4 linked regions of the Lepisosteus oculatus genome follow. The protein of the gene in region 4 interacts with the protein of the main gene of each other region in a pairwise test. Links are inferred from orthologs where the notes say so. Each region holds a gene or a part of one and is shown on either strand. Other genes may lie near its edges.

Evidence for each region.
Region 1: the proteins of fam161a (region 4) and liprin-alpha-1 interact in binary tests that used the Homo sapiens proteins (3 or more experiments, as listed by UniProt). The link is inferred for Lepisosteus oculatus from reciprocal best matches to the Homo sapiens genes FAM161A and PPFIA1.
Region 2: the proteins of fam161a (region 4) and hmbox1a interact in binary tests that used the Homo sapiens proteins (3 or more experiments, as listed by UniProt). The two-hybrid records come from large-scale screens. The link is inferred for Lepisosteus oculatus from reciprocal best matches to the Homo sapiens genes FAM161A and HMBOX1.
Region 3: the proteins of fam161a (region 4) and cadpsa interact in a two-hybrid assay, tested with the Homo sapiens proteins (2 studies listed by BioGRID). The two-hybrid records come from large-scale screens. The link is inferred for Lepisosteus oculatus from reciprocal best matches to the Homo sapiens genes FAM161A and CADPS.

The regions. Positions count from the first base shown.
Region 1 is NC_090716.1:5,712,663-5,720,520, reverse strand, and holds the start of liprin-alpha-1, read right to left. Parts: upstream 3,011-7,858; 5' UTR 2,080-3,010; intron 1-2,079. UniProt on the Homo sapiens protein: May regulate the disassembly of focal adhesions. May localize receptor-like tyrosine phosphatases type 2A at specific sites on the plasma membrane, possibly regulating their interaction with the extracellular environment and their association with substrates.
Region 2 is NC_090697.1:60,387,314-60,394,474, forward strand, and holds the start of hmbox1a (homeobox-containing protein 1a), read right to left. Parts: upstream 3,020-7,161; 5' UTR 2,591-3,019; intron 1-2,590. Other genes in the region: ints9 (integrator complex subunit 9), read left to right, coding at 3,188-3,196, 4,066-4,193, 6,924-6,984. UniProt on the Homo sapiens protein: Binds directly to 5'-TTAGGG-3' repeats in telomeric DNA. Associates with the telomerase complex at sites of active telomere processing and positively regulates telomere elongation.
Region 3 is NC_090699.1:48,655,215-48,662,727, forward strand, and holds the start of cadpsa (calcium-dependent secretion activator 1), read right to left. Parts: upstream 3,008-7,513; 5' UTR 2,569-3,007; coding exon 2,233-2,568; intron 1-2,232.
Region 4 is NC_090712.1:9,715,930-9,723,942, reverse strand, and holds the start of fam161a (protein FAM161A), read right to left. Parts: upstream 3,013-8,013; 5' UTR 2,686-3,012; coding exon 2,518-2,685; intron 895-2,517; coding exon 635-894; intron 233-634; coding exon 1-232. Other genes in the region: cct4 (T-complex protein 1 subunit delta), read right to left, coding at 3,821-3,835, 4,564-4,677, 4,877-5,111, 5,482-5,612, 5,698-5,808, 5,964-6,060, 6,192-6,331, 6,435-6,567 and 4 more. UniProt on the Homo sapiens protein: Involved in ciliogenesis.

The sequences.
Region 1 (7,858 bases), on a different chromosome or scaffold from region 4:
TTCTGTTGAGGTTTCTGCAGAAGCGAAGCACAATTTAGGACACCAGGATAAAAACAAAAGCCATAGCAACCGCTGCACAATGAAAAGCTAGGCTCTGCAGATTGACCGCCTTTTACTATTACAACTTTATTTTCCAGGGTTTTTGTTGTAGTTAAGTCCCAGGAAATGTCACAACCAGGTCAAGATCTATGACATTCTGCAATACATTACAGGAATTACCAGTCAAGCTCCAGACAAAATGTGGGATAAAAAAAAAACAGTAAACAATAGAGCAATGCCTTTTAAAATCCCTAGTTGAAGACATTCATTCAGTGCTAAAGGCACTTGCTTTTTATGGCTTGCATGTCAGAAACCATTGTGTTCAGCTCAGTGCTCCTTACAACCAAATGTCCAACACTGGGCAATTTGTCCTCAGGAAGACGTTTATGGCCATCAGATATAGAGCTCCTAATATTAAAGGCATTTAGTTTTCGTTTATCAAATGCACTGTCAAAAATAGAAATCAGAATAATATCCCTTTACAACATAGCACTTACACAAGAGTCAATCCCACTTACTTGCATGTCAACATTCTTCTATTGGTTTAATGATAGCAGCTCTTTCAACAATTTGCAGTTTAATTGTACTTAACTAAGGAGTATGGGTGTTTTTATTCAGAAAACATGTTCTGATTACAAAGATACACAGCGTGGGGCAAAGGTTAATATTATCTACTTATTAGCTATTGAACGGGTAGGTCTGAGGACACACAGACAGGAACAAAGTACACCCATAAATGTCAATCAATTTGTGAGGAAAATTAAAAAGGACAATCTATCTGGACAATACTTTTTAGGCACTTCAATATCTGTTATCAATAAGTTATTTTTTAGTTTTCCATTGACACAGAGTGCTGTATCCATTTAAACTGATAATGTGGAAGATCTGTGGTCCTGGAAATTATCTTAAATGCATTACTGACTGCATAAAGAATGCCTGGAGTGACTTAGAAATGCAGGCTTTCAAGCTTAATGTACTGGGATAATTCATGATCATTCACTTAGGACACACGCTTTAAAGAGATACATACTTCTGTCTATTGGTTGCTCAAAATGAAGTTTATGTCTTACAAATAAATCATCAGAAAGGACATCAGAGTAATAAACAGGAAAAAACCCTCTGACTTAAAATATTTGGTTCTTCTACTGGGAAGAAAATAAATTGAGCGCAGAATTTAAATAATCACGTTGGTCTTCTCTTCATAAACTCACAATGTGTCACCACAGGGAAATATTTTCAGCTCGAGCAGACTCAATGTTTACGAATTCCAACCCCCTGAAAAACAACCAAGATCCTTCCTGTGCAGTATTGGTACAGCATACGCTGGATAGAACTAAGCTGCCAATTCTCCTATTCTAATTTCGTTTTTATAAAGTATTGGCCTTTATTGTGAAAGAAAACCAATTTAAATGTAAAAAATGGAATTCAAATGAAACCAGTTTTACTGTATATTAAACTCGTTTAAAAAAAGCGGAGAGGGTCTTTTTATATAGGTACATTATTCGGTCTAAAAATGATGCTCTGCACCCTTTATGATAAAAATAAGCGGAGGCGGCTACCTGTCAGAGCAGATGTGTTCGTCTGGAGTAACAGAATGAAGGAAAAGCTGTAACAGTTTTGTGAAAAGCGCTTATTCAACAGTTTACTGTGCGCCAGTGACGCACTGTGTGTGTGTATTGATTAGTTCCATTCGCGAGCCAGAGGCCCAGTAGGTAACCAAGCAATTAAGTTTTCCACTGCCCTCTTAGAGGTGTCTGCTCATTTAAAGGCTTTGTACAGCACGATAATGGAGCTGCGTGATCTCGAAGCCTTACATAAAGAAAGCTAACTCACCTTGCATCAGACACTGTATTTGCAAATTCATAAACAATTTAAATAAATAAAAAACTTAGAAAAAGTAACCCTCTGTTGTTGCAAGTGTGCAGGCGTTACAGTCGGATGCTTAGCTAAAACAAAGGAACACTTTTCAATAGAAAACGAGGGGGTTAAGAAACCGCTGTCTCCCTCCATATTTATAAATACACAAAGAACACTGTTTACCTTGCCAGAGAGGAGGAAATATCTTCTGTCAATTCCACTTTCCCCTCTTGTATGAGCTTGTTAATACAATCCTTTATGATTATTGTTATTAGCAGCTTTTTAAAAAACGAAAAACAATATTTAAAGTGCTATCAGGTATCCTCCAAGCCATCCAACAGTAATAAATCCATCAAAGACGTAAAATAAAATATTAAACAGCTACCCAGATGGCAAAAAAGAAAATCCCAAAGGCCCGAAAGAGCGAAAGAGACTTGGATTCCCGTGACTTCCTGAATTAATGATGTATTTTAAGAACTACGAGCGCTAAAAAACAACTAAGTTACCTTATTAAGGTAAAATATAACGATCACAGCCAATCATAATAACCTCCTACAAATACCCACAGTGTTAGTGGGATAATAATATCAAACGCTCCTGGAAAACAGATGTAAACTAAGGCAATCCTGCAATTTTTATCTTCTTTAGCTGCAACCAGCGATCGGGCCCGCAACGCGTTATAATCCAGTTTCTATTAACCAGGGAGCCATCGCAAACAGCTAGGAGGACGCCGGACAGAAAACATCGAATTGGTACAGTATTTCCTCTTCGCTGCTTCTCTGTTGTCGAGGGTCTCTCCTTTCAGCCGCGTCACCAGCCCAGAAGAAAAGCAGACTCCTTTTCCAAGGGATCCGAGGAGCAGTGAGAAGCAGAGGGGATACTTGAAACTCCTTAGTCGATAAAAATCCCAATTTATCCTCAGTTCGGAAATACAGATGTCCCGGATTCCTTTGTTTCCGGGATGCCCGAGGCCGAAGTCATCCAGCGCCCGTTAATGTAACAGGGTTCAACCCCGGTTTGGTCGTCCTCTTCTGTCAGAACTACTTCTCTCCCTTTCCGTGCTGGAGCCTCGGCTCTCGTTATCTCCAGTTTCCTGTTCTCCAATAAATCACTGCGTGACGTTCCCAACGTGCACTGCGCGCTGGGAAGTATCCACTTCCAAACTGCAGCGCCCTCTGAGGTTATCCCCGGAATTAAATACGGGAATACCCCCTCCAAAATCAAGTGAAGTCAGGTAAACTGCCCCCAATTGACTACTAGTAACCAATTGAGTTAGATGGGCCTAATGGCCTGATTTTGTTTGTAACCTTTTTTTTTATTTTCTTACTAAAATCGACTAAAATGTTTATTTCCTTCCTAAAATCTGCCTCACAGTCTCACATTCATGCAGCCATTGGAGATGTACTGTATGGTCGGAGCCAAAAGGGCTTTTTTAAAATTATGCCCACATTTTTCCATATACTGTACCAGCCTCTAACCATCGTGCGTGAATAATTAAAGACTATACTGACGTTTCTTTGTCAAAGAGAAATGTGCCCACATGAGACTGAAGACAGGAAGGGTTGAAAAAGATGAAAATGTCAATCAATTGTTTAAGATGCAAGCCTTTATTTTATGGCTTTGTCTGGGGTGTGTTTTTAGCTGTTATATTCTTACATGGCCAGAAGTTATTTAATAAGAAACAATATGTTTGAAATCAATCTTTATACCATAAAGCACTCAGATTACTAATACTACTGTTTCCTGTTTCATTTAAATAATTTACCATTACCTGACCATATTGACACCCCTAGTCATTTCACTGACCCCAGCCTTTCCCCCTGCCTTGAGGGACCTATCACTCTAAATTACTGTAATTAGTCATGAACATCCTTTCTGAATAGATGGAGGTCAAAGGTTAAGCTCTCCACACCTCGTTGTGTTCTATTTTCCTTTCTTTTCCCAATTTACCAGGATAATATAACGGCCTTAAAGCCCTCTGGTGCATCCACAAAGTGACAATAACTGCAGTATGGTTGTGGGAAAGATGGGACTTCAGTTGTGCTTTTAACTGGGAGTGCATGGATTTCTGGGAAGTGCTTCATTAAAAATGTCCCGAAATACAGGCTGTGACTTTCTGATAGAAGAACATCAGAACATTAAAACATGAGAAAAAAAGTATTAAAATTAGTTCTCACACAAAGGGCTCTTGCTCATTGTTTTCTTCCAGTCCCCTCCCTATTCCATAATTCATTTGTTTTATTCAAGTAAATGGACGAACCAAAAGGAGTGGAGAAGATTGGCGCTTTCTAACCAGACTTAACTCCTGACTCTGTCGTTTCAGAACAGCAGAGTGCCCCATGCCCTCTCACTTCCTTCTCTCTGCCTCCTCTTTATAAATAGAAGAAGACTGCTTTTTCACACCTACCAGCTGCTGCATGAAAAGGAATGCACTGGTCACAGAAGATGCACAAAACAAATAGAATACAGCAAACGAAAATGTTCCCCCACATTCTTTATTAGTAAAGAAGACCAGTAAGGCAAAAATAGATGTTTAATTTATATTTCTAGGGGGCTTTCCTTATAGAAGATGTTATTTAGCATATGCTGCACATATCAAAAGCCCACCACTTACTGAAACACAAGACCAGCATTTTTGAGACAAAGATCATGATAAATAAATAAACACCCTTTGTTCTGGCTTCTACTGAGGATGAAGTGCATTCCTCTTGGCTGAAATGTGCTGGTAGTGGATGTGATCATATACAGTTGAAAATGGAAAACAGTGGCATTATTTGCATAGAAATCTTTTTGTTTTAAATAACATATTTTACAACTCACACACAGGTTATCCATGTCTTAAATCAACCTGTAACTTTCGATGTTTTTTATAGTTAGTATATGTTCTGGGAATACAGTAACTTTCATTAAGTTTGACTTGTGATGACTCATGGTTTTGTTTCACAGAAGCACAATAATACATATCCTGCTCATTGTGCTGAAAGCAATACTCACAATGTGTTATACAACTTTCAGCATGGCTACATAATTTTTAATTATATATTGTGCATACAAACACCCCCTCCTTTCATCACTAGCATTTGTGCTGTGATCACGAAAGTAATTTAAGTTTAAGGAGTTAAGCAATTTTTATGTACAAGTGCAGCACATGCAATACACAATCATGTACAATATCTATACATATATATGTATGTACACCTCAAAAAGTGTTTATGTCACTTCGCTCATAACTTGGATATTTTAACATCTATATTTCAAGTGATCGCATAACTGTACTTGAGTATACAGGACCATGGGAAATGCATACTTTGAACGGGCTGTTTTGTTTTTTCATTGGCTGATGGATGGTTTGATGTTATACTTAGAGCATTGTATTTATTTGATCCCAAGTATATAGTAAAATAAAATGTCAAGGAAAACAAAAGGCCTCATGCATATTTCACGTATTGCATTTTAGCTTCTATCATTACTCAGTTTATTGGGGAGACAAGGATGGCACTGTCTCAGCAGATGTGTTGCCTGTGATTATTAATAGTGTGCATCTAATTCACCAGCTGGACACTTGCCATTAGAAACCTCCCAGTGGATATGGTGAAAAAGCCTGATCAGACATAAATCTGTTACAGGTTTTACAGCATTTTATACATTCTGATATAGACACAGAAAAAGAGGGCATTGCTTTAAAACAGCCACAAAAGATTGGTATGTCACTCCATTAGCTACATACTCTATGTTCCATCATGTGTATGTTTTTCACCATTATTACTTTTTTAATACAAAACATGCATGGTAATACATGGACAATTTTAAACAAATTTATGCTGAAGGCTTTCTTTAGTATTTGATCATTTGCATTAATGCATTATTAAAAAAGAAAATGATAACTTCAACAATTATTACCAATACACAGCACAAAGATGTTAATTATATGTAAATATAGTAGTCCCTGCACATATTTCTACGTACTGTGTGTATAACAGCAGTGAACTTGGCTCCTCCACAAATTCCAATCTAGAGTATTTGTCAATGCATCCCTTTATCACCCCTCACATCCACTGCTATTTGAAAATCACAGTTAGAAGCAGACTGATGTGTTTTTACAGGTACCAGTAAAGAATGTAAAGAATGCATGGAATGTCACTCATTCCAGAAGTCTGACAAAAGCAGAATTTACCCTGGAATCAATTGAATATGGTTTGGTGCAATTACATTTATCTTTCTTTGGTTTTAGAAGTTGTGGTTATTTATGTAAGTTATGTTGTTATACATTGAGTTCCATAGAATTAAATGGGTAAAGATCCACCTTGTTTAGGCATGTGGGCAGGACCAAAGTGTAGGGGATTCCGGAATCGTAAAACATTCTGTATAAATAGCTAGAAAATAGCACACTCAATTGCTTCTTGAGTTGAAGCAATACTAAAAGACATGGCAATTAAAGACAAGACTAAATTAGAAGGGTTACGAAGACTTCTTTGGCTTCTATTATTACAACTCCTGTATCTTAACTCTGGAGAGAAAGAAGGAATCTGCAGGTACAAACTGATTAGGTGGGGACAGTCATTTGCTTTTGGGTAGTTGGGTCTGGATTTCATTTCTACTATTCCTGCTTCATGCCATAATTCACAGATATTGCCAGACCTTACCAGGACGAATCTGTGTTTCTTTTGGTTGACAAAGTGCAATGCTGCCTTCTGCCAGTTTATGGAAAGCATCACATTTGACATATCCCAGTGGAGCCGGTTCCTCAGGATTTGACACCAAAGAGAGTGTGTATCACCTATACCAGTGTGCGATGCTGCAAGGCTAACAGTCTTAAACACAATATAACCAGCAGGACAACTTGGTCTGGGCGAAGGACTGTTTCTACACAATGAACATAAGAGACCACCGGGGGTGTTCTGGGATATTTTCAAAACAAAGTGCGATGGAGACTCCTAATTAAAATGACAACATCATTTAAAAGCTCTAATTATTTTAAAGGAGCATCCTAAGCCTTGAATTGACATTTAGGTTGTATGTTTCAAGTGTGTAGGCAGGAAATTGTTAAGGAGCATCTCTAAAGCATTATTTTTGCTTTTCGGGAGACAATAGACATTTCCTCCAAGACCAAGTTAGCGACAATACTGTGATTTTAGGACTTTTTATATAATGACAAATACACTGTACATCTGTCCACTGCACTAATGCCTATGCTACAAGCGCTGAAAGTGTGAAGCAAATTGATTGTTCAATACTGCTGCCATAACAAGTTGAAATATTCATTAGGTACAAAATCTACATTCCCCAGTACCTAATCTATTCATTAGGTACAAAACATATCCCCACATATGTTTTGTTCACTGATCTTGAAACAGCAGCAATGATGAACATGGAAAAGGAAAGCTCATTTTCCTGATCTTTTGGCTTTTGCTACTTTTTTCTCTGTTCCAGAAAAAAATATTCTGTTCTTGCTAAAACAACCAGCAAATTAATTCCAAGGCCCAGCAGGACACACTGGAACTTTAAAGGCAGAACTGACAGTGCTGTTTGGGAGAATTTAGATGCCCTAAGGGAATGCATGGAAAAATGTTGAGAGCAATCTGGCTTGGACAGAAAAACAGTCAGTGAAGCATATGGTCTATCCAAACACTTGGATGACCTTGATTTCCTGCATTAATTGGATTTTTTTGCCTTATTATTCATACCCAAAGTTGACATATTGTATAACTTCTTACAGAAGCGTGGCATTGACACAGCTGCAGGGAGTACTGTAATAAACAGTGCAAAATTGAACACAAAATGAGGGAACACATTGATTCACTGGCAACTTCAGATATGGAAATTGAGCCTTCTTTAAAATGAAGAAATGTGAACAATGACATTATCAGAAATGAGATTTGTGACACAGTAACCATACTAGAGAAGAACAGATTTGGTCAAAGTGACCATTTACTAGCAGCATGATTAGTGGATTATCTCCCAC
Region 2 (7,161 bases), on a different chromosome or scaffold from region 4:
TACAGCAGTTGGGTCTGTAAAATGAGTTGTAATGCATGTGCCACTGCTGGAATTTAAAGCAAAGGTTTGACTTCTATGGCTGGATGTTCACATAATGCCATTTGATAAAGTAAGGGCCCTTGTTATCTTGAAGGAGCAGCATTGTCGCCTTCTAGGCAGATATATGAAGCTATGCAGTTTGAGCCTGTTCATAGGAAACCCCAAAGAAAACCAGACTGCTGTTGTAAGTGGAATTGGTGAAGGAATAGATCGCACTTTTCCCTCTGGGCCAGAATTTCCAAACCAATGTCCCCGTATGGGGACCTGTTACAACTGTGCTCTAGGATTTGCTGACATTCAGATACTTGAAATAGAAGTCCTGACAAAAACCAAAGATCCTATGACATTTTTAGAAAAGGTAGGAATGTTGTCTAAAGTAGACTTTGATCACGTACAGTCTGGCTTTCCTAAATTTTCCTCTAAACTGAATTGGTGAGGCTGTTTCTCAACTCAATCCCTGAACTGCTGTATAGTGGAGCTGCTGGCACATGATTGCTGCCTAGGTGGGCACTGTGCTACACAGGTAGAAGAAGTGGGTCTTCTCCTGTATGTAAAGTGCTTTGAGATTTATTGGGTTAAAAGCCCAAGTTTCAAAGAAGTTTCCAAGCCTTGACGAATTCTAGTTTAGGCTTTGATGGTATTGTAACTACTAAAGTAACGTCTTGCAATGTTCACCTTATTTTCTGTAAGGGGATCTGCTGGCTAAGAATAGTACCCATGTACTTCGGCAAAGAACGCTATGCTGTAATTTTTGAGGAGAACAGTTCTTTATTATGGCCTTGGTAAAGAGTAATATAATCCCATGAAACCCATTTGTGACATGATCCAACAAGCATTAAAGTAAGCATAGACAGTGCCTATGAAATTGCCCATCGATATCTGAAGATATGTTAGTTAAATTCAAGTCAGGACACAGACCAGATCACAGAGGGTAAACGATGACAAAATGCAATGACAGTTCACCTAAAAGAAGTAAGTCACACACTGCTGCCAGTCAGTTTGGGAAGTGACGCAGCACCAATTTGTTAATGGCACCACACAATTGGTCAAGACAGATGTGATATCATAATTTCAGATCAAGGTGGGTTAGTGTCTTCAAACATGCCCTTTTTCCACCACCTGTTCTCCAAATGGGGGCAAGTTACAGCCTGGATACCTGTAGAAGTTCACGTTTACAAGTGGAGCATACGGCCCGTGACTCACTTTGGCAGACAGCCATTTAAAGGAAAGGCTGACTAGACATGCTGATTTTTCTTCAAGATACAAATGCAAATCCACACTGAGGTAAAATGGTGCGATTCTCTTTATCTCTGAACAGGTCTAACATTAACTGCATTATTTTCTGATCTTAGAGTCTAACTCCAGTACACCTCTGGAAATTATTGAACACAAAAAGTTTTCACAGTGTTCTACAAAGAGAAACAACAAAACAGAATTAGCAACACTCACATATGTCAAAACGTCCAGAACTGTGGATTTCGCAGTTATCAGTGAAGGATTCTTCACTTACTGTTGTATTTTAGACAACACAACATTGTTTGCTAAAGGTACAATGACTGCTCCATTCTGTACACACTATGCATTGAGATTTATTTCTAATTTGTACTGTACAGAGCAATTATCATAAGGTCACAATGATATGTAAGAGTCAAAACGAGTCAAAAACTGATTCATTCCAATTCATTTCAAACAGACAACTTTAATTTTCTTCTGTTTTTGATGCATCTAAACGATGCATTATGTAGAACAGCCCACTCAATATTCCCTTGATCTATAGCAATTAATTTGAACATATATTACTGAGAAAGAATGTGTTGATTCAATAAACAAGGTCAGACTAAATATACTTGACACTATTAGGACGATGATGAACATGAATGATAATCGTTAGGGAGTTAGTATTTGCTACTACAGGTCATACACCTCCGCTCGGTCAGACGTCACACATTCAGAAATGAGTTACGTCATTATACTTCAAGACCACCAAAACGCCCACACCGCCCAAAAGCTACCACATACTTGCACCACCAAAATAAACACACGTCCCAGGGTACAATGTTTACGGCTGCTGGAGTAAGAAACACCATCCACCCACTGCAACACCTAGCGTGCTGCACTTTAAAAATGTGTAAATTATGGATCATTTTAGGACTACTGCATTTCGAGTTGATAATCCAGAAGAAATGCAGGTCGCTTATTCTTCCCAAAATATGAATTAGTTTGCATTTTATAGACATGGCATCGTGATGAACATCTAGCTGACAATGCATTCTCAAAGGACATTCTGTGTTGAGAAGCACATACTGTGCGAACAAAAATCTGAAGATAACTCCCCCACTAAGCATAACACTGATAACACTTATGATAGTTAATCATGTTTACTTTTGCAGTTTCAAAAGACCTGGCTTTATGTTCAGATCGGAGTCAGTGTACACAAGCAACCAATACACGTTTCATTAAAACTGAAATACACCTGATCAAAATTCGACCTGTATATCATTCGAACAGTGTAAACTAATCCAGACGCTGCATATTGACACATAATTCTTACCTTTATCAGTTTATCTTGGGCCTCCGTCCACCACACCATTTAATAACAGGAATACAAATAAATTCCTAGAGTGATCCCGCGAATTTAGCACCGAAACAAAACATACACGAGTTATTTTTTGAAACCCTTGCTGTCCTTTTCCTTCTAATTTGATTTCAGTCAGAGACTAGACTGACTTGCCTTTGTCTGTCTGACAGCAGCCATATTGACATCAACATCAGAAAGCAGAATGAGGTTCGTCGGGAACCGTAGTTTCTCACAAAGTATAAAACCGAGTCCCTCTCAATCTGAAGCGACAGGCTTCCACCGAGAACTACAATTCCCGTTAACGTCATGGACCTACTCCCAGCGGGACTACAAAGTAGCGGCCGACAGAAACACTCGTCACACGTCGCTCTGCGTTCTGTTCCCTTTTCACCCTTTGCTCTAGCTACCCGGCAGTGAAAATTAAAAAATAAACTACATCTCCCAGAGGAGGTGACCACAGGAAGTATGTTGAAGTGAACTATCAACTTTGACTCTTGAAATCCAAAAGATTTGGCGTGGGGATTGTAAATATATACTGTACATCTAGGTCATCTGACATAACAATTCAGGATGAAACTAGTGAGTATACAATTAAGTTATTTCATTTCTTGTTGCAAAGTCCAGGCTGCAATAAGCATGGGTCAGTTGAATGAGGGAACTTTAGAGAAACTGGAACGTTTTTTATGTTATTAGCAGGAAAAGGTGACTGAAGTTCGTTTGGACAATTCACGTTACATTTTACAAAAGCTGGACACGTGTTGAATAGAAATAATCTAATGTTTACCACTTTACTAATGTACAGTATATGCATTAAGGAAAAGACTAGTGCACGCAAAACCTGACGTATTAAGCTTAGTGTCCTGGTTTAATTCAGTTTTGGTTTATTTTAAATCTGGCCTTTCTGCAATTGTTTTAATTCAGATGACAAAGCAGTTTCGTACTTCTTCACATTATCTATTGTGTGTAATCAAATTGCTGCACTTTAATAGATGGAGTCGGTCCCTTTCATAAAGCGCTTCACGTCTGCAAGTAATTATTTTTATATAGCACAGTGTTGCTGAACGATGAAAATAAGTACAGTTCAACGTCATGATGTTTTGCAAGCAAATTTAGTATTTTACTGTTCTGTACTTTGTTTTGTACTTACAGGAAAAGATTTGTTCACCGCTTTAAAAAAATGTTCTTCTTTTACGTAATCAATTGTAAATGGTTCGATGTCTGTTCCAGTTTGTCTGATGGACTGTAATAAATCAACTTTATCATGTATGTCATCACTAACGTCGTGTGAATAAAGAAGGAAGAATATCCCAGTAGTTGGATTTAAATTTAAGAATTGAAGCTCATAAAAAAAAAACATTTTTCTGACATAGCTTATTGATAAATACTTTTAAATGCAATTGCCTCTCATGGTTTAAAAACATGATGTGTGTTATCCTGTATTTGTGTAGTACTGCTTGTCTGGTCATCCAACCTTGCCCTGCAATGTCCTCAAATTCAAATCTACAACCATCATGCTGGACTGTGGGCTTGACATGACATCAGCGCTGCACTTCCTGCCTTTGCCTCTAGTACATAGGTAAGACCATCAACAAAAAAAATAAAAATACAGTCTTCATAGTAAAATTCACACATGTTATTGGTGAAACGTTTTTCAAAGAACAGCATGGTGACACAGTATATAGCATGTTTGCCTCCCAGTGCAGGGGTCCTGGGTTTTAATTCCTGGCATGATCTCTGTGTGGAGTTTACATGATTTTTTGTGTTTGCGTGGATTTCCTGTGGGTGCTCCGGCTTCATCCCGTGGTCCAAAGACATGCTGGTAGGTTCACTGGCTTCTGTAACACTTGCCTTACTGGGAGTGTGTGCCCAGCAATGAGTTGGCATCCCATCCAGAGTGTAGCCTGCTTTGTGCTCAGTGCTTCCAGGGATAGGCTCTGGAAGGGCCACTGTGACCCTGAATTGGACGGGCAACTATTGAAAGTGATGATGTTGTGATGTTTTACAAAGGAATTTGGCATATTCTTCTTGTTCTATGTAATTTTAATTTCCCAGAAACATCCTCAAAATTGAGTGAGTGTTATCTTTTAAATATAAAGTTGACCTAGCATGTTCTCCCTTTTTCCTTTGTGAATTGTTTGTGGAGAATAAGTAAAGAGGGTTGGATTTCTTCAGGAAAGCCAAGATATTTTACAAAGCTGTTAGATTGAGAGGATAAAATGTGATCTGATGGTTGGCTGAAAAGCCCACTTCTCCTATGGCGATATTTATATAAATCAAACCACTCTAAACAAAGACCCTGAAGATTTGTTGGAGCGTGCGATCTAGTTGTTTTTTTTATTTGTAGACTTTACAATTCCTCGCAAACAACTGGACATCCAAATAGTGGAGAAAAAATAAAACAGTCAGCATTTGTAAAATAATTATAATGCTTATTTGGAAATCAACATTTTAAAAACCTGGAGCTTGAATGAACAAAGATTTGGTTAGAAGTATAGAAAAAAACAATCTAAAAGAAATGGCCAACATTCATTGTCAAAACTCATAGTTTTGTTAGTTTCAAGTAAAATGAGCTGTATCTAATTTTTGGTTTCACATAAAGACATTTGTTTGTTTAGTTAAGTAATGATAGATCTTGATTTTGTTCACAAATCTTGATGTTACTTTATTGTAATATAATACAAATCAAGTCTGTTTAATGGCAGTGACAATGAAAGTTATAAATACAAGACCTTTAAAAATTGTTTATGTTCCTTGTTAATGTTTAGAATTGTAATCACTACCACTCAATTGCACTAGTCATTAGCTGTAATTTGCACTCTAGTGCTGTATTTTAAATTTAATTACAGCTCAGGTTTGGAGTCACTCGATGGAAATATTGTAGTTATGTAATTCTTTTATTTATCAATAAACAAATCACATACATAATTGGTTTACAAAAAGAGGAGAGATTGGGTAGTTTGCATTAGGTAGAACATAATAATAATTTCTCTGACATTTTTTTTGTGATTTAATTAATGCATAACAAAATAGGGCAGCATTATTGTGCAGTGATTAGAATTTCTACCTCGCAGTGCTGGGGCGTTGGGTTTAGTTCCTTGGGTGCTATCTGCGTGGAGTTTGAATGTTCTCCCCGTGTTCACATGGGTTTTCCCTGGGTGCTCTAGTCCAAAGACATACTGATATGTTAATATTAGCCCTAGTGTGTGAGTGTGTATGTCCTGCCGTGGACTGGAGATCCATCCAGCATTTATCCCACCCTGTGCCTGTTGCTTGCCAGGGTAGGCTCTCACTCCAGTGACCCTAAATTGGATGAATTAGGGTGGACTATGCAAACATGAAAGCTTGATATTTTGTATTCTAACATTTTTATTAACTATTATTTTTAATGTATTACTCTTTAGCTGTGATTTATCCCAACATTATGCCAGTATAAAACTTACAGTTATATATCTTACAGTTATATAGTGCTTTTCCGGACACTCCTCTCATAGCACTTTAGAGGTAATGGGGACTCCCCTCCACCACCACCAATGTGTCCACCTGGATGATGCGACGGCAGCCATAGTGCGCCAGAACGCTCACATTGCTATTAGTGGGGAGGAGAACAGAGTAATGAAGTCAATCCATAGATGGGGCTTATTAGGAGGCCATGATTGGTACAACTCAATGGTTAATGATAGGACTTAATTATATTAAACTACAGTAAATGCTGTATTTGTCATCATCATTTAGTAATTCTGTCTGAATTACTAAATTTTGCAAAAAGTATTTGTAAGTATTACCTCTCAGTGAAATTATTCTGAAGTGAAGCACATTTGTTAAAGATTTAAGAATTTAAAATAAGGACACACCTGTACTTTTACATGTTTTTGAAAGACTAGACATCACTGTCTTCTATTTTAGTCTGTCCTATTTATCAGATGTTTATTCCAACAGAGAGCCTTAAATGAATGGATTGTTTGTTGATCTTAAGAGATTTGTTATTTATAGCAAGAAGAAAAGCTTTAGAAGCCCAGATAGTTGTATTAATAGTTTATATATTCTGGTGTTTCAGCTTGTACAGCTGTGTGAAGAAAGAGTTCAAAAGCAAATTAAAGCCAGAATACTTCCTCCGCATGTTTCTTCACCCACCAGAAATGTAGCTTTTTTCTAAATAGCAAAAGACAGGAAAAGCCTATGAAGCTGGACTGAGAAGTTAATGCTGAGGTTACATTGTTTTTTGGGGGAAAGTCAATGGGACAGTTTGTTGTATACAACTATATAATTTACAATGCTCTGTAAACCCTAATATATTTCTGTCTCCTAGTCAAAGACTGTCCAGGCTGCCTGGCTGGGTGTCGAAGGATGGGAACACTCTGTTGGAAAAGGTAATGAGACCTATAAACATCACACAGTTGAATTCACATGAAGTGTCACCTCCACAGTGGTTGTAGAAAACAAAATAATAATGTTAAATGGTTTGTAGAAATGACCTGCTCAAGACACAACTTACAAATATTATATTTATGAAGCTTTATTTTTGCATAGATTGGTGTTCCAGTTTT
Region 3 (7,513 bases), on a different chromosome or scaffold from region 4:
CCTTTTTGTTTCAAGACAGCATTTCAAAGAAGTCACACAACTTCTTTAAATATTAGCAACACATATGGCACAGTATGTTTAAGCAAATTTAAAGTATGGTTTGAAATTCACCCATTAAAAAGTGTTGTCCATTAAAGATTCTCTGTGATCAAGATGACCCCTACTGTATAGTATAACTACTCTAAAACCTAAATAACTCAATTTGTAAATCAAAAGATATTGGAAAGCTTTCAAATTAAATGTAAAAGAAAAAAAATATTTCCAGACTTGTGTATTTTTAAAATTTTAGCTCCTGTAGATGAAGTCTAATGCATATCCATGAATGAATTGTGAATCCACATCCACATAATGAATGCCCAGTACAGTATATTATATAAATACATTGTGTGCTATACATAAAGGGGTCAATTCTGACAATAACTGTGTTCTTTTTATTAGCATGGGGATTTGTGAGTTGGATGTGACTGTTTTGTTGGTTTTAAAGGAGAATAACAGCAGCACAATATGATTGCATGGTCCTGTTACAAAAAAACAGGACAGCTTAACCATGAACAGACTGGGCTTGAAAGGAATAATTGCTTTATTATTATTGATCCAAAAAATGATATTTCCCAGACTGACTGTTAAAGAAGTAACGAAGAGACTTTTCAATGTATGTAACACACAGTATATTCACAGAAGCCCTCATCCTCTGCACGGAGCATTGCACCACTGAACATACACAGATAACATTTTAAATATTGCAGTGCAAGTTTGATTATGATTTTTTTTTACAATTGTACATGCACAATACAAATAACATGGACCAACTATTGTGAACTTTTATTATATTTATTTTATAAATTTAAAAAAGGATAACTTTATTTTTAGCTATTACTCCGCTGCAGTAGTCAACACTGTATGCTGTCTTGAAACATCTAGTGCAATGATCCATTAAAAAGCGGCCTTCAGCTCAACATACAAAGACCTGTGCACTAGGATATAGGAATAGTTCAATATTTGAAACTCAACACATATCATGGTATGGGTACACGATATTTCTTATCCAACAATGGGCCGTTCTATTATTCAGGTTGTTGAATGTCATACAGTATATTAATACCATTTCTAATACATTTGCAGGACCTGCGCTTTTCACAGCAAGGACAAAATTCTACCATGCGCTCCTCACTTTAACAGGCGCCACCTAACGGGACCAGGGCACTAGATAGTTGTAAAATAAATTAACTTACATTATAAAGAAGGTACGTGAGATTTCATGATATTAATAAGGAAGCGCCTAGGGCCCACTATATTTGCGATACACCATTTATTCAGGAAAATTTGTTTTCGGCATTATTAACTTAAAATTCGCAGTTAATTTAGGCACAATCAACACCAGCGACCAAAAACATTAATAAAGTGAAGACGTTAGAAATATATTTTTTTTAATCTTAACGAACAAAACATCTATTTTTAAATAAATGGCGGCAACTTAATCATCTGAACCCCTTATAAGTGTTTCTTGTTTAATAAATGTATGAGCTATGAAGCCACCTTGTGAAATAACTAACGGCTACTCAAAGGACAAAGGAGAACGGCTCGGGAAAACTGTTTCTCTTCACGTTGTCCTAAATGTCGTCTCCACGCTTTTGCATAGCTATAATGCACAGCGCCAGACTTCAGATCTTTAAATCACATGACTTAGGTAAGGTCTATGACAATGACACGACTTTATTGTGGTATTTTTTAGCGTGTCGATTAAACCTAGCAGGAACCCGATATGTAATATTTTTCAGTCACGGCAAAACATTGTAGACATGATATTGTACAGATTAATACACGTATTTTATGTTTTGTAACTGCATGACATCCGAGCGTTTATGTGGTATGTTCCTTCAGTGAGAGGAAACACTAAGCCCTTTTCACGGAGCAAATCCAGTTTACAATCTCTCAAATATGCATGGTGTTGCAGTCCCAGTTCTTCGACTATATAGTCCACTATAGCGCTTTATGTACAGTAGCTATGATACCCGTGGACTATGTTACAGCCTTAGGTGCATTTTGAAGAAATGAAAAACACAGTGAGCTTTCAGAATTTATAGGTGATGTGTTTAAGAGGACAAGGGGTTTATGGATATTAATGGAATTTTATTTTTAGTGTTTGGAAGCCTCCAAAATACACCCCACGGAGAGCTTTTTTTCGCTCCCGCTTCTGTTTGCTGAGATGGGTTTCCTTTTTTATACACTTACCTTTTGCTGTCGTCTCGCCATGTCTGTTGGTTGTTTTGCATTGAACGGGTAGGCAATGCACCTCATCACAAAGACATATAGCTGCAGCTTCTTCTTTCTTTCCTCCTCCTCCTTCTGCATTTTTTCCATCTCCTCCTTCTCCTTCTCGCTTACCACCGAAGGACTCGGGCTGGATGGGCGGACGCTACTGCTCCGACTGCTGGGCTGTAGCCCGCCGGAGCTCTCGCTGGTCCGGCTTGGGGAAAGCCGAGCTCCGGCCGGAGGTGCCATTACCTCTTTGCTCTCCTCTTCCACTATCTCGTCTGATTCCTCTTCGCTGGACGACGGATCCAACATTTTGGGTTTTGCAGTTGTTTTCTACAGTGGTAGCTACCTAGCTAAGATGAAAGATGCAGGACCCGAAGGATATGTAGTGGCAGCAAATGCAGATGAAAAAGAGCGTTGAACAGACTGTATGAAGTCCAGCACCCCTGCTTAAAAGCTATTAGGAAGGAAATCAAAAATCCTGGTATTAATAAGAAATCCAACCTGCTCCTGTTAGTTACAGAGATACAAGGATGCGATGTAGTCGGACGCCTGACGTTGAAAGCGCCCTGTATAGCTGTTTGTATTGGCAAGGCAATCTCCCCCTACCGAACGCGGCTGTTGCTGCTTACGTGTTTTCTGTATTTTAACTCTCCAGTCACCGCCAGGGATCTCTGAAAGGGATAAGGTATTAAGGAAAAGGGGAGGGATGTAGAAAGAGTGAAAATTTTCAGGATCGAGGCTCATCCATTGACTGCCTCTGCTTCCTGCGGGAATCTGTCAATGGTAACCGATCGATAGCCACATCCTGCTATGCGGTGTCTGAAATGCAGGGGCACAGGGAGCTGTCCAGGGTGCTGAATCGAAATGTTGACCGTATTGTAGGCTGCAGAAGGCTGGTGCTGTCCCTCGCATTGACAGTAAGCAGACTTAGCTTGGCATATGGCTCTCACATAATAATACTAAAACAATTGCCAATTCAAGTTGCAGACCCGCAAGATTCACCGCTTTCATCCCAATTGTATGTACAATATTAAGTCTGGGCTTGACCTGTTCAATGTCGTCTTGGATTTGTTTTGCTTTTGATTGCCTTATTTCAATCCGAAATTTACACATAGACAGTTTGCGAGTTTTTGTACCACACCTAGGCTCTTCTCCGTACTCAACCTCCTTAACAGAAAATCATGCGTACAGTGTTCACGTTTCTTCTTTCATTCGTTTCAATTAATCAGATCAAATTTTCTGGTTTATTCTAGTAGGCTGGAATTTTGTGTTAGGCACTGGACTACATTCTGAGTCACAGTCTGCTTTATTTGTGTCGGGTTGTTTGATAGCAATACTATCAAGCTATAGCAAATTGTATTTGTATGCACTGCACATGAACACACGCTATAAATATGTATAATGTATACACACTGTATATAGACATGGTAAACATTTTCACATAGAATATATCATAAAATACACCAACCAGAACAAAAGTAAACTGAATTATGATTAATTTATTTTACATTTTCTAAGGCAAAGATTTTGTGAGGTCTGCAGTTACATAGACCGCTCATTTTTCAATTAGTTTCCCAGTATTGTATCACATATATTAATTCCAAAGTCTGTTTTATCTTCCTGTCCTCAGCTGTCATTAGGACTTTGGATTTCTGAAATAATCTTTCTGGCCTTAGAGGTAGTATGCCTTGGCCTTGCTTTGTATGTAAACTTTGGATTGCATTATATTGTAACGCAATGGGGGCTCAGGCGGGCGCCCTTGCCGCATTAGGACCGCACCGTCGGGGGCTCGAACCCAGGACTCCCGCGTCACCCCGCAGGGACCCAGCCCGGTGAGCTAAAGAGAGATCTCTCTACAGCCCAGTAGCTGTAGTCCTGCTATCACAGGGAAGGGCGGTGACGTCACCTGCTCTGGTACGCCAGCTCTTACACAGTGCCTGTCGGCTGTAAGCGTTACACTATATTTTATATTTTGTAATTACTAAAGAAATAATGTAAGCCTTTAGTAAACCACAAACTTTGATACTGATTTATGCCATTTGGCTTCTTTATAATACCCTTCAACTGCTTTCTTATTGAAAATCCTAATTCCGTAATCTTCAATACTTTTTACATCTAATGCCAGCACCTTTTTCATCATTGTTTTTATCATATTTAAGAGGGTGATGTACTGTAGCTTAACAAAAGCTAACGGTTGATAAACAACATTTGATAAAAATCTGCATTACAGTAGTTAACTTTTTGTCATTATGAGTAGAGTATGAACAAGGTACCTTTCACACAGAGTCAATCTGTTAAATTGTTTTGGGTTGCATCTATTATTTGATCCATCTTTCATTTGAAGGAGCAGTGCCTTATGTAACCAAAACCATTATTTATATACAGTATACATCCATTCATTTTCTAACCACTTCTTTCAGTTCAGCGTTGTGAGCCGACGCCTATCCTGGCAAACAATGGGGACCACCCTGGGCAGGACACCAGTCCTTCATAGGGCAGACACACAGACACAAGCACAGACACCTTGGGCCAACTAACCTAACGGTATTTTGGACTGAAGGAGGGAACCAGAGCACCAGAGGAAACCCATGTGAAAACTGAGAGAACATGCAAACTCCACTCAGATTGCACCCTACAGTAGGTCCATAATTGAGCAAGTAATGCTAAGCACTGCACCACCATCTAGCCCCTAAATCATACAAAATCATGCATCAATGTAAATGTTTTTGGTTTATGTTCCTTTGAAAGGCAGTCTCATAACTACAACAAAACCCTTGCTATTTTAATTTAATCTAAATATTATTCAGAGACATAACTAATGCTGAGAGAATCTCATTTACCGTATTACATCCATAATTCACACTGAGGTTCCCACAGATACTTTGATGTCATCTCCTTTAACTAGACAACATTCAGCAAAACCATGTTAACCTAATATTTTGATTGAAACAAAAACGTTTTGGGATCTCCTTTATTCTGAAAAAGAAAATCTACAGAGATTAGTTCCTTAGTTTACAAACAGTACATTTCCAGGGAACACAACTCTTCTAAATGTGTCATTAGCAACACCAAACATTTTAATAATAAAACAGAATGCTTTTCACAACTATTGGATTATGTCTGACCTGCAGATTTACTGAGAATAAATAATCATTTGTGAATAAATCCAAACATTTGTGCACATACTGTATACAATCAAATACATACTTATATCTCATTTCAGGTAGCTCCACATCTTCCAAACATCATTGATTATATATAATATTATAAAAAAAACAATTAGTTAAATGATTCCCTCTAAAAATAACATATTTCAGTACACACAGAAACCTTCTAGACTCTTGTGACGTACTTTAATCTGAAAATCATCAGAAAATCTATGTTGTTGGTTATTAAACTGACTTTACATAGATAAAATAGCAAGGAATTACACTGAAACAGAATATTATTTCATGCTTATATGCTTATGCATATGACAGGAACAACATAGGTTATCAATCATACAAATTATTGTAATACAGGGGTAATGCATTTTAATAAGTTCTTTAAGACACAAGCTCTTCTACGTACTTCTGAAATTTAGCTATATAACATGGTTTATATGCATATTAATGGCAGCATACCAATGCTGAGGATTTTATTAATTTATAAAGGAAACATTTTTAAATGCTGTTTCGGCGCTTTCAACTTTTTTGTTTCCATAATTGAATTAATATAGATAACACATGAAAGGTTGTTCTTAAAAAAAATGACGATTACAAATCTCTATTCTTTTTATTAGTTGGAAGAGTGAACTCATAAATAATGTTACAGATGTTTAGAAAAAAATATTAACTGAATTGAATTGCTGTTCAACCTTTAACTTTGTTGGAGTCTTTATTTGAAATTGGATATTCATGCTCCTCTCAGGCGGAATGTGGATCCAGGATATCCATTCATTCATCCTTCCATTTTCTATCCACTTTATCCCGTACAGGGTCACAAGAGAGCCTTCCCAGGTACTGTAAGCAAGAGATGCAAGGCAGGATACATCCTGAATGAGATGCCAGTCCATCTCAGTGCACACACAGACTCAAACACACACACTCACACCTGGGCCAATTTTCCTATTGGACTGTGGGAGGAAAACAGAGCACACAGAGGAAACTCATGTTAACATGGAGTGAATATACATAATGCATACAGATACCACCCCAGGAATTGAATTCAGGCCCCAGGGCTGTGATGCAGCAATTCTAACCAATGTGCTACCGTGATACCAGTCCAGGATATAATTGAATTTAAAGAATTTTAGTAGTGGTGCAGCACGTTTCTTCAAATAGAAGTATTTCTCCATATGGAAAAGTAATTTGATAATTTAGGAACCTTTTGTATTTTGCTTCTGTATCAGAAATAAAAAATACACATAAAATCAGTGTTTTGTTTGTGTTGTAATTTTGAAATCCATGGTCTTCAAGCAGGTACTGTACAGTAAATACAAAGAACTATATGAAGCTGAAACATGTAACCACCTGTATAGAATAACACACGGCTTAAAACAATGTACTGTATATCAGTAAATGAAAAGTACGACTGGAACCTTGATTTTTGTATTGTTCTGCAATTTAATCATCCAGTCAACATATCTTATTTAAGTCTCTACATTAGACAAAGTATTTTATTTCAGAATCAAAATCTTATTCTAATTTCTATTTCTATTTCTAATCGAATTTATTGTCCACATATGGTGGAAATTTTCACTGAGACAATATACAAACCGTATATAATACAGAGTACATACAGTGCAGTAAAACATTCAGTGGATTCTATACATGTACTGTATACAGTCAGTCAAATATAAATAAAACTACCTTACAATACCATACAAAAACTATCAGATTCAATTGTATATATTCTGTCAATACAATGATCTGAGGGGTCTGATCTATTTTTAACAATTAGACAGGAATGTGTAGATTAGTTAGGTTATTCTAAATCACCTACAGTGGTCTAAACTTTTACTTATATTAATACTGAATTAATGCAAGTCAGTTGATTTTAATGACTTGAAAGAAATCTAAGAATTTTGTTCTCAATTGTATTTTAGAGTAATAACAATAACCTTAAACTGAAAAGCAAGAAAAGTAAACATAGTTTTCCATTGAATGGTCGCTAACATTTGATTAATAAAACACACATATAAAACTCCTCAACATATAATGCATACTTATATTTAACCTTTTCAGTTAAAATACATATTTAAATTAGACCTGTA
Region 4 (8,013 bases):
CGACTGCATTCTCTTACAGGACACATAATCATCCACTGAAAAATCATCCCACATGTTTTTAATGTGCTCCTTGGGAGATGACAGCAGACCCTTTTCAACATCCCCTGCCTCATTGTATGCTGCGTCTTCATCTGATGTATCTGACAAACTTGAACAAACAGTATGATTCAGGTCATTCGCAGAAAAGGCTTTTCGAAATGCTTTTGTTGGCTTTGGACTATTGTTCTGCAATCTAGGAAAAAGAACAAGTACAAGTCAGAGCTTTAAATCTGAGGTAAAGTAAGGGTTTGAGATACTGCAACTCAATATATTACATATTTAGTAGTCTGGAATATAGACACACATAGGTCTCACTGGTTAAGCTGCAAATTTAAACTTTAATAATGTGATGAAAATGTTAATACATTTGTTACCATAAGTTACTGCCTGGCAAGACAAAATCTGAATAACTACAATACTTCGTATTATGTAGATGCATCTTTCTAAAGAATATATTGACCACAAACTCTGTTACGAAATTCGCTTTGTTCTCAGCAGTGATGATGTGAGTTGATGAGAAATCTAAGATCCAATGTGGCTTCTAGTCTCACTTTAGGGGGTGTTTAGGTTACTGGGGACACCAAGAAAGACAAACCTGCAGAACAACTCAGGGTTTGCACACTCATTGTCAGGAGCTGCCACTCCTTTGAGTTCCATCTTATTGCGATACATCCTTTCCAGTTCTGCCATGGTCTGCAGATGGGCTTTCTTCAGTTCCTCCAGTTTTCTGTAGTATTCCTCATTGGAGAAGTAAAATTCCTGGAGATCCACACAGTCTCCAGCCATTCTGTAGTCCTTAATCAGCACAGGACTGTCCTTCCTGCCCTCACACTCTAAGCCCGACTCATATGCATTCTGCAACACAAAATAAAGCAAGAATAATTCAATTAAAATGGCATGATGGCATGCTGACAAGGTCGAGGTTTCCAAGAACAATTTTTGAACCAGTTTTAATTGTATTAACATTAATCAAATAAGAGCAAAGCCTAAAGCAACAGATGAAATTATGCTTCAGCTCAACTACACTGCAGGCAGGATATTAAGCGCTGTGATGAAGATTTAAATATGTATGAAATACACTTTATTTTGCATTTATTTAACCATCATACTGGAGGCTCCACTGAAAATACAAAATCTTCATCACTGATAAACCATTATATTTTACATAATGAACTTACAAACACAGGTTTAAGTTTAACTTTGTTGTTTTACAATGTAACCTTTAAACAGCAGGTCTCCTTTCATATTTAATTCGTCATTCACAAACAATATGGTGAACATCAGGTTTGAACTAGAAGACACATACTTTAACCTAAGGAAATATTATAAAAGAGCAAACCACTCTCTGAATACCATATCCTCTCAGCATTAGAGCACAAAGCTCATTAGTTGAAGTGACCATATGGCACTCAGCAGTGCGAAGATGTTTGTAGCAACAGTGATAAAAGGTACATGTGTATTCTTAACACAAGCTCATCTTCTATAATGACCAAGATACTGAACAGCCAAGACAGAAAGTAAAGAAAGATACTAAATAGGTTACAGGTATCAATATGCCAAAAATATATATTTTTTTATTCCATTACACCGATGCTCACAACTCAAGACACATTGGTTCCTTCGGGTGTTCAGAGGAATGTCTGAGAAAGTCACAAGCATTCATCTTCTAACCCATTCTTCCAATTTAGGGTCGCAAGGGACTACCCAAGTATGCAATATACCACAAGTGATTTATCTGCACAAATTAAAATCCCCCTAAGGGAAAATGCTATGAAATTTTAACAATACCTCGCCATAAACAGTTACATATTAATATTTCTAATGACAAATATAATCATCCACTAAAACATTTGGTCCATTTAAATACTGTATAAATATTTGCCTCACCTCAGCGTGCAGACAAAGGGTGAAAAATGAGTATCCCACTGTACCTGTCCGCTGTTCGAGTGGCTCTGTACAATACAGATTAAAGAGCCACACTTTTCTCCCCTGTAATCCATTAAACGTTAGTGTCTCATCTGCATCCTAGAATAGTTACAAATCGCAGAAGCTTTCTTTCCAGAAAGGGTGTTTAACTCCAATCCTCTTAAATAATTAATAGTCTAGCTTTTGGTGGAATTCTAACAACGCGAAAAGAAAAACCTTCGTTTTAAGTTTATTATTTCGGGCCCTTTGTCTTCTATACTTTAGGAAACGTTTTCTTAAACAGTTCCTCTGTAATGGTTACAACGAAGGTGTGGAAATGAGGAATAAAATATTTGAGGCTCAAGGTAATTGCAAGACTGTCTGGAGCCTACCAGTCTACCATTCACTACCAGTCTTAGCTTGACTGGCGACGGTAAAGTGCCGATGCCCAAACCAGAAAGAAATATAAAAATAATCTAGAGATACTCATTAAACATTTTCAGCGCTACAGTGAAACGGTCACAGGAACAGGATTTCTCTTGCCAATTCTATGTTTAATTTCGGTACTCTTACCTCTTCCTCATAATCTCGGGTACGGGTCTGCTCCGCCGGTAAGGACCTCTCGCCCCGTGTAGCAGCGCTCTCCCTCTCAAACAGAGCAACTGGTGCTTTGGTAAGAGGGTTCACGGGGGTTTTGAGACACGAAGTTACCAGGACGTTGACACGGTGCGAGTTCTCCATTGTCTTGCACTTGACTCGCTTTCGGTTTTCAGAAATTCAGGCTACTTCCCAGTGCTTTGACGTCCTACACGCCCGTAACTCCTAATCCTACTGTTTGATGCTAACCGCGTTGCAACCCTGGTTACAGTTAACTCTACGGGGCAGCCGCTGGGCCAAAACTCCTCTAATCGCTTAAGGTACGGCGTTTCCACCAGTCCCGTGTACAGCTCAGCATTTTCACATTTGGCAACCTTGAATTAACTCCAACTATAATAATAAAGCACACTCTTTAATTGGACCCACTACACGAAATCATGTTTCTGTTCTGAACAGAGAATGCGGTGTAACCAGTTAGTTAAGCGCTCTATATAAAGTGTAATGCCCTTACACGTATTGCAGCTAAAATGGTTTGGAGCATGGAAAGTCCTTCAGATTCATTCTATTTGACAAAGCTGTTCAATAAGATTTAAAGATTTAAAAAAGTCTAAGTGACAGCGCAAGTGTTAATCCATAAGCCTGGAGGAGGTGCTGCTCTGGAAATTTAAGTTAATGACCTTTCTACAAAAACAGCTAATATTGTAGACTATACCTACTCATGCATTGTCTCCACTGCAGATATTCCAATAACTTTTTTCCCCAGTGGTCTTTTACAATTCAATTTTTGGAAAAACATCTCAAGGTGTTTTTCAAACAAACAGATGAGCTGTTTTAATTGCTCTTGATCCCCTGACAGTCCAAGAGGCAATTTGAGAAATGGCAATCTGTAAAAAGCTTACTTTTACCAATGAATCTAAGTTTCTTTTATGTGTGGACATGGATGAAACATTTAAACCAATGTGTTATGCTCATGTAAAGCTTAAATGAAGAATAATGCAAGATCAAACATGTTTTAATACAACGCAAATTAAGACAAAGGTCCACCATTTTAAAATCAAACGGATACCACACTGGTAATCAAAAGCTGCAACCAAATAATGTTTTTGCTAAAAAAAGGCAAACATTTTGATCTCAAAAGATTTATTAAATTAGTTAACAAGTACAGATTAACAGACTACATATGTGACATTGGTCTGCAGGCTCACTACATTAAATCAAGGCCTTGTCTGTACGAAGGGCCAGGACGTTTTGACCTTTCTTGAATCCACAGAAGAGGACTTCACCGAGTGTTCAGCTGAAAAAGAATATTTCAGTTTGAGATTTTACTTATAACATAGTGTTTAAATACTCTGCACAATCTAATACAGATCTTAAAAAAACCTTTAACTGATTTAAGTTTATACTATAATCTTAAAGTCATCAACAATATTTTACTGCACTTTATCCAAGTTAACTACAAGCAATGTCTTGAAGTAACTATTTTAAGAAATCTCAACAACTTCACAGTAAAATTAAATATCAATCACATTACAGAGTATTTCCATTACAGAAGTCATCTGCTTAAATATTCAATATGGACAAAACGAAACTGGCTATTTGTCAGAAACCTGTGATCAGTGCACCATAAACAAAACACACAAATAAATATTTAACACAGTTTAAATTATAAAACAAAAAGTTTATAACTTACTGAAAAAGTGTTTAGTAGATGTATCCATCTCTTTAGTAAATATCTGATTTTTTTAACTATAGGTCTTAGCATGACTGAAAGCTAATATACAGCTTCTAGTTACATTATAAAGAATCACTGCAGAAGTGCTGTACTGATGGCGATTCAGGAGTTAGAAAGGCATCAATCAGCAAGTTAGGATGTGGCATCCAGTTTGCCTGTTAAAATGAATTTTCCTTCTGAATCACAAGTGCATCAAATTATCTTTTCTTATTTAGAGTCTTCATCCCACATTTATCCCCCAACAAGCTTTCAGCACTGGTTAGAGCAGCTCTCGTAATAAGGACCCTTACCACGTCGTCAATCTTGAGAATACTGCGCACAGTTTCAGTGGCCAGAGTCAGGGCGCTGATTGACACCAACAATGGCTGCACCACCAGCTCCTCCAAGATGTTGGAAATGCCACCCTGTGGAAAAAACAGAGGACTCCCTCAGTCAGACCTGCTAAAACTTTTGACGTGCAAAAATAAACTCCTTCAGTACATTGTAAACAACATTTAGAACCAAAATCTTTTGCGTTATTTTTGTGGCACCTTTGCATGATGAAAAGTTGCAGCAAAACCCTTATTCTTCCCGGTCCCCTTACACTTGAAGAAGGAAGCTTACCTTTCGGACATTGATGCCGGCTGTCCTCTCTCCCTGCGCATGCCGATTCCTCAGCTCTGTGACAGTGGAGATAGGGTTGAGCCCGGCATTCTCTGCCAGCGTGGAGGGAATGACCTCCAGAGCATCGCCAAAAGCACGGACGCAGTAGGCCTCCATGCCACTCAGCGTGCGGGCATATTCAGCCAGGCGCAGAGCCAGCTCAATCTCTGGAGCGCCTCCCCCAGCGATCAAGGCCCTGTGAAGGGATGGCAGGGTAAGGTTAGGGTCCAACATTCAGGAGCTCATGCTCAAGGTAAAACAATTCATTAATAATTTTAAAAACTGCTTATATGATGTAGTAAATCTAGAAGCAGTTTATTCCATACAAAGCCACATACCAGTAATTTAGCTGTTAGTCGATACATTTTTCCCCTTTCATTTTTTTTTATATGACCTTTATTAAACAACACTGCACTGGGTATTTTTTTTAAAAAGTCACTTATTTTAAATGAAGTTCTTCACAACTTCGCCAGTCAATAAGGCGTGTGACACAAACCCTTTTTCAATTAGGGCACTCCAACCTTACTTTGGTGTAGAAAGCACCCACACTGAAATTGTAGCAATACCTTTTCTTCACTAGGCAGCGGATCACACAGAGGGCATCGTGGATGGAGCGCTCCGCTTCCTCAATCACAAGCTTGTTGGATCCACGCACCACTATGGTGACAGTTTTTCCGGGGCTTGCGCAGCCAGTAATCTGTATAACAAATCATGTTAAGTCTCTTTGCTTCATCTAAAAAGCACATTTCTTCAAAAACTATGCTGACATTCAAATGACTTACTTTGACAAGCTTGCCAGACCCATCCAAGCTCACTTCTTCAGCCAGCTCTGCAGAGCCCAGCATATCTGCTGTGAATTGGTCTATGTGGGCCACAGGTTTATTTCCAATAGTCTGCAATCACAAATACAAAATATATCTATGGTGGTAAAGAATTCCTTACAAGAAAACAGTATAACTGTAGCAGACAAAAGTTAGATCATAATTAACCATTTTCAGTTCAGAAATGCTAACAAGATGTTGACATAAAATATAATTTATCTCTTTACCTTGCAGATGAATTCAATATCTTCTCTTTCGATATCTTTAACAACCATTATCTTCATCTTGTTTAGGAAATGAAGAGCCAAGTCACTCAGTGCATCCCTGGAATTATATTTTAAATGATCATTAATAAACTTAATTCACAATACTTACAAGAAAAAAACAGAACAAAGCTGCAGTATAACAAGAATAATACAAAATGGATTTATATTGCAAATGGATATGAACTTTACCTTAAAATAGATTTCTGAATGAGCAACACATTGCATCCAGCCTTTTTGATTTGCTTCACCAAGTTGAGGATATAAGCTCTCTCCTCACGTAGCACTCTGTCCATTTGGGCATAGTCAGACACAACAATCTGATTATCCATCTAGCAGACAAAAACAGGTCAATGTCAGTACACCATCTGACTTCACAACTACATAGTCCTTCCACAACGCCAATTACTGTAGAAGTGAAAATTTTAAACTTACATCCGTCTTTGGAGGAGATAAGCAGAACTGAATAAGACCAATCTTTGCCTTTTCAACCCGAGAGACACCAGAGTTTGCTACTTTCTGCGTAAGCACAAGTCCATCAACCAACTCACAGTCATCAATGGTTCCCCTGTGAATAAAAACTTTGTTAATTTCCATTCTGACAATTTCTTGTTACACCCCTAGATGTATTTCCCCATCAAAAGCACAGCTACTGCACCTTGTCAACTCACCCCAATTTCTTCACAATTTTAATGTCCTGGAGGTCAACCCCCGTGGCCGTAGATGGATCAATCACCTTCATCACAGCATCAACACTCATTGGTGCCAGCAGACTGGAGTACTGGGACACAACCTGGACAGGGATAAAACAAAAAAAGATATTCAACTGAAATGACCAGTCATTTAAACTATAAAAATAGTTACATTTCATCTTGCACTTCAAAAGGGCATTCCTAGTAGAAACTATTATGTGATGACTAAACATTTTATAATGCCTTTATCATAGAAGATTTTGAAATGATTTACCTTGGAGCACAGTGACGTAGTGGCACTGTTCAACAAAGACTCTCTGTCACTCAGTTCCACAGGCTGGCTCATGGCTGTCAGAACCTCAACACCCTTCTCCACAGCTTTCTGGAAAGATTCCGAAATAATGGTAGGATGGATTCCTACAACAAAATCACATTAATCAACATTAATAAAAATGGACAACACTTACCATACACCTGTGGCAATGCAAACTAGCGATTAGAGCTCTGAACTGCGGATCAGAGAGCTGTGGAATCAAATTCCGGGTGGGATGTTATTGTACTCTGATGCAAGCCTAATCACATTATTTACTCCAGTAAATGCCTTAATGTACAAATGGGTATTCTCCTGGTTGTGGACTTATTCTAGTTGACTTATTCTGGTTAGAAAACTAAAAAAATATAACTGACTCCAAACAAACAAGATGGAAATTCTTTACCTTTCTGAAGCAGTTTAGCACAAGCATCCAAAAGAGCACCTGCAATCACCACAACAGAAGTTGTCCCATCACCAGCTTCAATGTCCTGAGCTTTGGAGAGCTCCACCAGCTGGAGTAAGCAAAGGAGTTTAGGTTAACTGCTGGCCATGAACTTAGAAGGCAACAGAAGCAATTCGATAAAGCAAGTGATATTACCAAAACTGATTAGATCACCCTAAAGCAAATGCCTAAGTTCAGTTGAAGTTTGATAAAAACAATTTCACATAGCGGAAAAAGGAACTCTATCAAGGCTGTTTTGGTCATATTATCTGTGTTTTTTTGTTATGCATTAATATTTAACTGCCAAATTTCTTGAGTGTTTTCAAATGTTACATGAAAACTTACACTACTGTTAAAAATACAATTGTTGTATTCAAGATGGTTAAAATTTCTGTAAAATGGTGTTGCTTTGAGCTAAATACTTAAATCCACATTTTTAACAGAATGAATTAATCATTAATGTACACGTTCTTCTTAGCAACCAATTAAAGTACATCAAGTCATCTTTTGACAATACTGTACTTACCATTTTAGCAGCTGGGTGAAGAACCTGCATTTGTTTGAGGA